Linked DNA regions of Drosophila melanogaster. The protein of the gene in region 1 interacts with the protein of each later gene in a biochemical or structural test. Each region holds a gene or a part of one and is shown in the gene's direction. Other genes may lie near its edges. The genes, in order: cort and mtrm.

Region 1 (4,585 bases):
AACTGTACAAATTAGAATATTACTTTTCAGTTTATCCTTGTTTATGGAAATGTGATTCGGAACTCTAGTAATAAACACAAATCTGAAAGTTGTTGTGCAACTATTTAAGATCAGTAAGGGCACAGAAGCTATAAAAATGATTTCTATCATCGAGCTAACGTACACTAGTACCATACCTTATAACACGATAAATTACATGCATATATAGCCTCTTTGATTCTATTATTTTTAGAACTTGCCTCTGCAATTTACCTAGTTTTTCCTAAATACATAAATATATATATATATACACAAGCCAAATTGAATGGCCTAGCAAAAGTTTAATCGCATACTTATGGACATATTTCCTTCTTCTTATCTATTCGACATCGAAAAATGTGCTAACATGTATATTGTAATCGCCCGAAAACCACAAACCATATTATATTCAGATGGAGATTCTGGAGCATGTCCAAAGTCCGGTGTCGACGAGAATCCGGCTCTTAGGATTTTACGGGAAAAAGTTATAAGGCACAGGCGCAGGCAAACATATACTATTTCATTTTTGATGTATTTTACACAACATAAACTTATAGCTTTTTCGTTCTAAGCCAGTTAGTGTAAATATATCGTTTCGAAAACGGACTAATTGTATTCGGTTTAGTTTTTAAGTTTCAAAGCTGATTCACTTGCTGATCTATAACATTTTCCGATATTACCTAGGACCCTCCTATTTCTTACTATATATACGCTGTATTTAAAACAAAGCGAAGCTCTCTGAAAATATTAATTGTTGTGCTGTTAATTTTTAAGTCAAAACCAAAATAAATAAATAAAAAATTAATAATTGCTAAATTTTTTAATGGAAACAAAGCAGAAAGAAAGGAATTATAGATGGGCATTTCTTTTTAGGGGCACCGAAAGTATGATAAATTTAAACTTCATTAAGCCAAAAAATAGTGCGAGTGATTTTAAAATCGGAGATCTGAAAAAACATCGATTGATTTTTAAAAATAGTGTGACCGAAGTTGACCGCCCGTCAGCATAGCTGGGCACACTGCAACGGCGCGCTTCGGAATCGAATTGTGTATATTTGGATTTGTTTTGAAACATATTCAGTCATTGGCAATGGAGTTGGTGAAACGCGGGTTCCTGCGTGCGTGCAAGAACCACAGCTACCTCAGCTTCGAGCTGATCGATGATATCCTGGCCCCGCTATGTGCCAACCACAAGACTACAAAGCCCGGCAGCAAGGAGGCGATTAGGGCACTGGTGGCGGAGATTAATGACACCATCAGCGACTTGGGCCAGTTGCTGGTCTTCATCAAGTATCCGGTCAAGGCCGAGGAGTACCTGGTTTACGCCAAGACGGACGCTACGCCGGACAGCGTGGCCAACACCGGGCTCACTGCCGAGGAGTGTCAGTACTTTTCGAAACTGCTGGACAAGATCGCCTCCGAGGAGGACTGCCACATCGCCTGGAATGACGCCTACAATGATATCGTCCTACAGGCCAGCTCGAAGCCGTTGAAGAAGAGCCGCATGCAGGAGCTGCTCCAGAAGTGGATCCAAATGGGCTACTTCATGGAGGTGACCGACAGAATCTACCTAGGTCCACGTAGCCTCGTCGAGCTCAGTTTCTATTTGAGCTCGAACCACGCCGATAACATAAAAAACTGCACGCTGTGCAAGTGCCTGGTGTTGTGGGACATTCGCTGCGGGTCCTGCAACATCCAGTACCACCGCGGGTGCATCCAAACCTACTTGCAGAGACGCGATATTTGCCCCTCCTGCGGCAACCTATGGACAACTCCAATAAGACGCTCCATTGGTTAATCATTATGTCCGCGACATGTACTATAGATTTTGATACTAGAATAACAGTAGTCCGCTTTATTAACTAAATGATTTCAAGGTAGAAAATAAATAATTTAAAGCAACATCTTAACTTGAATTTTAAAACATCTTCATGTAAAGCATCGAGAAGTATAAACTCCACACTTTAAATGGCAAACATTAAAGAAGACCAAATGCACTCCTATCGAGTGTTCACTGTACTTGTAACTGTAAGTTTTTTTTGATCCGTTGCCAATTTAATATGGCGCTAGCAAAACAGAAATGTTTCAATGTTCGTCGAGATGAGTGTGTGTGACAGTCCCAATAAAAATTCCAAGCTGGACAAAAAGTCTCTGACGCCCTTCAAAAAGGTGCGGCGGAAAAACTGGAAACAGGAGGCGGCCTACAAGGTAAGATGATGGGCCTCAAAACAATTTGACCACCTAAACGTAGTTTTCTTTTCGCGCAGAGTGATACGAGCAAGGGGCAGGAGGTGTCCTATGTCGGCGAAAGATTCATACCCAACCGATTTGAGCGGGAGAACATCGAGTTCAACCTGAAGTACATTGGCAAGCGGAAGGAGCGAGATATCCTCGAAACGGTGTGTGCAGTACTTCTGGCTATATATACTTTCCATTATTAATTGAAAATGACTTTTACAATCAGGGTGTCACTTTGACCGCCAGCTACTGGCGACAGAGCGGCTTCATATCGAACATCAACCGAACCTTTGGCATCGGAGAGCGCCGCCTGTTTCAGTTTAGCAGCCAGCAGGGCACAAGATCCAGGGTGGTCGATAACGACTCCGCCGATTCGGACTGGCCATGTAATCCACGGGCGCGACCATATGCCATTCAGAATGCCACCCATGAGATGCCTGGCATATGCAGTCCCGTCGACTACAACATGATGGACTGGTCGTCCGGCGGCATGGTGGCCATGTCCTCCGGACAGGATGTCATGCTGTGGCGCAATCTGGACGAGAGCACCATGGTCTTCAGCGTCGAGTCGCCCACTTCCCTCAAGTACTCGCCGGATGGCAAGCACCTGGCAATCGGCTGCATGGATAGAAACTATCCAGGTATAACAGACCCTAAGCAATAACTTTGTAAAGCCCTAACCCTCCTCTTTCGTACAAGTTCTGGACCTCTGGGAGGTGAGGTCGCCTACGGAGTTCTTGGTCTCCTACCGCAAGCTGTTCTTCAAGTCCATGGGCTACATAAGTTGCATTGAGTGGTCCCACGACGGCAAAGAGGTCATCTGCGGCACTCAGTGCGGCGTCATCATCGTGCTGGCCATGCCCACGCTAAACACCCTGATGCAGTTGCGCGAGCATCGACACACGGTGAAGAAAATGAAGTTTGCTCCCACCCATAAGTATTTCGCATCCAGTGATACGGATGGCAAGATTTTCATCTTCGATGCGGTGCTAAAGGTTCGCCTGCTCAAGTTGGACGGCAGGTCCATAGTCTTTGACTGGCATCCGTGGACTGGAGAGGATTTAGCCGTTGGTAAGATAGTGGCAGATTAATTATTAGAGTATCTGCAACATGAATATTATCTTAACAGCGGAGCGAAGCCCTGCGTCGATCTTCATATTCAACATCCCGCGCCGACAATTTGTGGCTTCGTACAGGCGCAGGGATGACAGAATCGTTATAAAGACACTAACATACAGCAAAATCACGGGCGAGTTGCTGGTCAACGTTATTCGGCGTGGTGAGAACTGCACTGGATCCTTAATGCTTGCTAAAAATAATGTATTCTAATATCTACAGATGATGCGGACCTTGCAGTGTGCGAAATTCTGGTCTTGGCCTCCTTAAACCGCGTGGTTGACTTGATGTCCCATCAGGATCGCGGCACCCTCTTCCTGATGTGGAATCCGGATGGAACGAAAATTGCCACCGGCGGACTGGACGACACCTTTTCGCTGTGGAACTTCTTTCCCACCTATAAGCGCGAGGCGATATTGAGAAAGCAAGAGCAAAAGGCCAAGGACAAGTGCAGCTCCCTGAGCCTGTACAAAGGCATACGGTGAACAGAGCACAGTGATTTTTAATTGTTTATGTTTCTAGTCTTTTATTCAAACCATTTGTGCTTTTCATTATTTATTCAATTCATATTACTTTCATAAAAAATCCATTCTGTTTAACTCTAAAATGAACACAAGAAGATGGGCCTCTCCACCCAAAGTGAAGGTAAGAAAGTAAAAGTCCATTCATTGTTCACCATGTTACAGCGTTGAAATTTGGTAACTAATCACTAGGCTATAAGTATGTAAAGATGTCTATGACGGCACTGGCAGCCTTGGCTCAATATTCGCTCCGTTTGGGTCTTGACTCGCCAATCTGGGAGTGAACCTCCTGCTGGAAGAGGTACTCCGCACTGGCCTCGGCTTCCAGGCGTCGTTTCTCGAGAAGATAGGGTTTGATGACAAGGCGATGGGTGGTGTAGAATATAACAGTCGATCCAATACCGATGGCCATCAGACCAACCGTCGTTGTGGCGAATCTTTTGAAGCCGTTAATGAAACTCATCTGTGGGCGAGAACGGAATTCAATTAATATATGACTTTAGCCAGCAGATTAGGGTTTAGTGTGCGGGCTAACTTTGTGGTTCCACTAGTTTCAGTTACTGCTGGCGTTTCTGCCTCGGTTTTCTTCTCGTTTTTGTACTTCAAAATCAGCGGTTGCCAAATGTAAATACCGCCTAGCAGCCCAATGGCCGTGACCACCATCAATTGCGGAACAGTGACACCACGCGGACG
Region 2 (3,833 bases), on another chromosome or scaffold:
ATTGAAGCTCATGCACTGTATGGAGTCACCGTGCCTATGAATGTAAATATATTTTTATATTTATATAAAAAACTAGAATTTATTGCAAGTGTGCTGAGAACTCACGAATACTTGAGCAGTCCCTCAAGCTGAGGTGACCACACGATGACCATTTTATCGGAGGCTCCGCTGGCGAACCGCTTGCCATCCCGCGAGTAGGCCACACAATTGACCGTATCCTTGTGCGCCTTCAAGGTGTTCAGCAAGGAGCCATCGTTTGGATCGTAGATGAGCAACCGATCCCCCGCAGCCACCACCAATTGGCTGCCATCGGGTGCGTAGCACACATTGTGGACACTGGAAAATTGGGTTTTGCAAATACCGTTATGGCGTTATAGCAAGCAACAGGTTGTTGTTTTCCACGAATGAGAAAGCTTTACCTGATCTCATTGTCTTTGCTATTGGGAAACTCTATGCGTTCCAGCCACTTGAGAACACCCCTCATTGTTGCAGAAGTCGAATTGGCTAATCCTGCATAGTTGGTAGAAATTCCTAAATGCAGGTGCGTTGTTTACACACAGATTCCATGGCAACCAACCACAACAAAAGTTGGCGTCTTGGCTGGAGATGGCAGTTTGGCGGGTTTTTCCGTTAGTTTTGGCTTTTAAAACTAGGACTTGACTAATAAACTAGTACTAGTAGTAAAAACAATTTATTTAAAACATAGCCTCATTATCGTTTACCTAATTGTCTAAGTGTACAATATTTAAAAAAAGTTTCTATTACTATCTGAAATGACCGTTATAATTTTTTTTTTCGTGCAAAGTAGTTGGCAACGCGGTAATTGACAGTATGACCAAAGCCAGTGTGCATAAATGCCTAGTTTCGTCAAAACAAAATAAAATAGAATTGTTTTTTATATCAGAACTATTGTTTGTTTTTAAAGGATTTTAGCTACATATACGCTTGAAAATGAACAATTTGGACAGTTCATTGCAGGCGCACAATAAATTGGAGAAGGTATGTCTAGTTGTCATGCTCAAAACCTCCATACTTACCCATTTTCCTCATAGGAAGCCACCAATTTAGCTCTGCTGAAAGATCGAGTGGATAAATACCATGATCTGTCCACGCAAATGTCCAGTATTCTAACAATCTTCGAGAAGCGCCTGGGAAACCTGGAGCAGACCATATTGCCCGTCTACCAGGAGACGGAGCAGCTCCAGAAACGGCAGCAGAGTATGAAAATAAACTCAATGGGATTTCAAAAAAAAAAAACTAATGTGTCACCGCCTCTTTTTTTTTTTAGATCTGGAAGCTACTCTCAATTGTCTGGAAAGCGTCCTGTCCCACTACGATGTCTCCCAAGAGGTCTGCCAGTTGATTCATCAAGGCCCGGTGGAGGGAAACATCTCGGTGTTCCTCGACGCACTAGCCAAACTGCGCGATGCCAACGATTACTTCCGGCACAACAATTCCCAGAGCGTGGAGCTGGAGAATGTCACCAGTTTGTTTAACACCGGCTGCGAAGGCCTGAGTCAGCACTATAGTATGCTCCTCAAGAAGCACAGTGCTCCGCTGAAGCCGGTGGAGTTGCTGGATCTTATCTACATAGAGGACGATTCCAGCGATGAATACACCTCATTCCGGCAGCTTTCGCAAACGACGCGCGAGGAGCTGTACACCATATCGCACTGGTTGGAGCAAAATTTAAGGGAGTACACAAACATCTACGCGACGGAACGGGGCGAAGTGGTTCTCCGATCGCTGCAGCTGCTCAAGGATCACCAAAAGAGCAACAGTTGGGGTCACGAGGCTCTGGTGAGTAAACAGTTCTTTCATATTCTAACTAGTATTAATACATATATATTATGTGGAGAAAAATAGTACGTAGTAGAATATGAATAGCGATGTGTACGATGATGAGCATATGTATGCTTTTCCCATCTCTGATCGTTTCGGTTAACGGTGTCTGTTCGAAAAAGCTTGTGCATGTAAGCATTACATGTCCAATTCGATGACCGCCATTTGCCAGCTTGAATTCGCAAAGAACGCATCATTTTCTGTGTCACAGTATCTAAAAAAAATGGAGAATTCTCGCACGCCCACGAACAAGACCAAAATTACGCTTAATCGCACGCCAACGCTAAAGGAGCGCAGATGGAACACCCTGAAGGTGAACACCTCCAACGTGCGATGCTCTACTCCGATCTTTGGCAACTTCCGTTCGCCCAATCTCTCGCCCATCGAGAATATGGGCACGAAGGGGAAGAGTCCAGTGTCGCCCATGCGGTTCGCTACCTTCAAGAAAGTGCCAACGAAGGTGCATCCCAAGCAGCAGCAGCAGCAGCAGCATCAGCACTGCCATCGCACTCAGCTTAAGCCCCCGCCATTCGTGCTGCCCAAGCCGCAGGAGGAGATCATCGAGCCGGAGCGAGAAATAAAGAGCTGCAGCAGCCCGGATACCTGTTCGGATGACTCGAATATGGAGACCTCACTGGCCTTGGAGTCGCGTCGTCGTTCCATCAAAGCATCGAACCACTCGTACGTGGTTAACCATGCCGCCAATGTGGAACAGATTCTCATGCACATGGGCCTGGAGAACTATGTGACCAATTTCGAAGAGGCTCACATCGATCTGGTGGAACTGGCATCCTTGGAGCGTGCTGATCTTGTTAAAATCGGCCTAAATACCGATGAGGATTGCAACCGTATCATGGATGTGCTCCACACTCTTTAAGTGAATCGCTGGCATGTCCATCTTTTATCATACACTAAGATTTTAAAATGTTTTATGTGAAGAGAAACTTTGTGATTTTAATATATGTGGATAATTAAGTAGGTATTCTAGAATTATTGTAAAAGACCTGGTGTCTTAAAGCTCGTCGTTTTTAGCCTTAAATAATAAACTCTAGTACACTTTAAGAATCTATGTAATTCCTAAAATGTTGCTCCGAAGCTCATTTACAAATTTAAATTTATTTCGTAAGCTAGCAAATTGCATAATACTTTTTGTCAAAAAAAAAAAAAAAAATTGGGGTATAAACGCTTTTGTAAAACACACATTTTTAAAATTAATAAACTCATAAGAATCAAATGCATATTAAAAGGTTACAAAAATAAGAGTTTTTAATTTGCTACCATTTTAGTACCTTAATTATTCCGAAGAAACATTAATGCAATGGCAATTAACAATTCAAATTAATGTTTTTAAAATGTTTTCTTGCAGAGACCGCGACACAGTGGACGCCAAACGGAGCCAAAAAAGACAACCTCCGCTCGTCTTCAGCAAATGTGAGAAATATTACTTAATTTCCAAGTTTTCGTATATGATATATTTAATTTATTCTGCATAGATTCGAAAAGAAGGCGAACAAGTTATATTTACGCGCGACGCAGACGATTGAGCAGTCCACAGGGTTCTCCATTAAGAAGGCATCATCGCACAGCGACCACCTGACCTCCGAGGATTTGATGGATGGCGATCAGGAACTGGACAAGTATCTGGTCATGTTGCTGGGACTGCAGCGGTTACTTAACTGGGAGCGAGCCATCATGATCGACATTATTCCCCAGTCGAAACACAACGAGGTATTCGCCACCTTGGCCTATAATGCCATCGATCTGGTGGTTAAGGACGCTGAGGCCATTACGCAACGCATCCTGCGCTGCATTTCCCGCAAGGAGTGGACCTCGGCGTTGGGAATATTCTCCGCCCTAAAGCGGGTTATACTGCTGCAGCCGGATATTGACCGCACATACGATCCTGCGCAAAGGGAACAGTTGAAAAAAGTACTAAAAAAGTTGCAGCACACCGGTGCCAAGGCATTGGAGCATTTCCTGGACGTAGTCAA

Evidence for each region.
Region 2: the proteins of cort (region 1) and mtrm form a complex in vitro, tested with the Drosophila melanogaster proteins (one study listed by BioGRID).

Annotation. Positions count from the first base shown.
Region 1 is NT_033779.5:6,674,071-6,678,655, reverse strand, and holds cort (cortex), read left to right. Parts: upstream 1-2,020; 5' UTR 2,021-2,105; coding exon 2,106-2,225; intron 2,226-2,284; coding exon 2,285-2,416; intron 2,417-2,481; coding exon 2,482-2,896; intron 2,897-2,954; coding exon 2,955-3,326; intron 3,327-3,384; coding exon 3,385-3,534; intron 3,535-3,593; coding exon 3,594-3,856; 3' UTR 3,857-3,974; downstream 3,975-4,585. Other genes in the region: Nse1 (Non-SMC element 1), read left to right, coding at 1,108-1,815; CG34310 (uncharacterized protein), read right to left, coding at 4,131-4,350, 4,428-4,585; cup, read right to left, coding at 4,342-4,355.
Region 2 is NT_037436.4:8,411,010-8,414,842, forward strand, and holds mtrm (matrimony), read left to right. Parts: upstream 1-2,002; 5' UTR 2,003-2,065; coding exon 2,066-2,719; 3' UTR 2,720-3,094; downstream 3,095-3,833. Other genes in the region: Oseg1 (outer segment 1), read right to left, coding at 1-34, 106-336, 420-484; Exo70 (exocyst 70), read left to right, coding at 952-999, 1,053-1,218, 1,289-1,800, 3,209-3,273, 3,336-3,833. UniProt on the Drosophila melanogaster protein: Polo kinase inhibitor required to maintain G2 arrest in the meiotic cell cycle in females. Holds heterochromatically paired homologs together from the end of pachytene until metaphase I.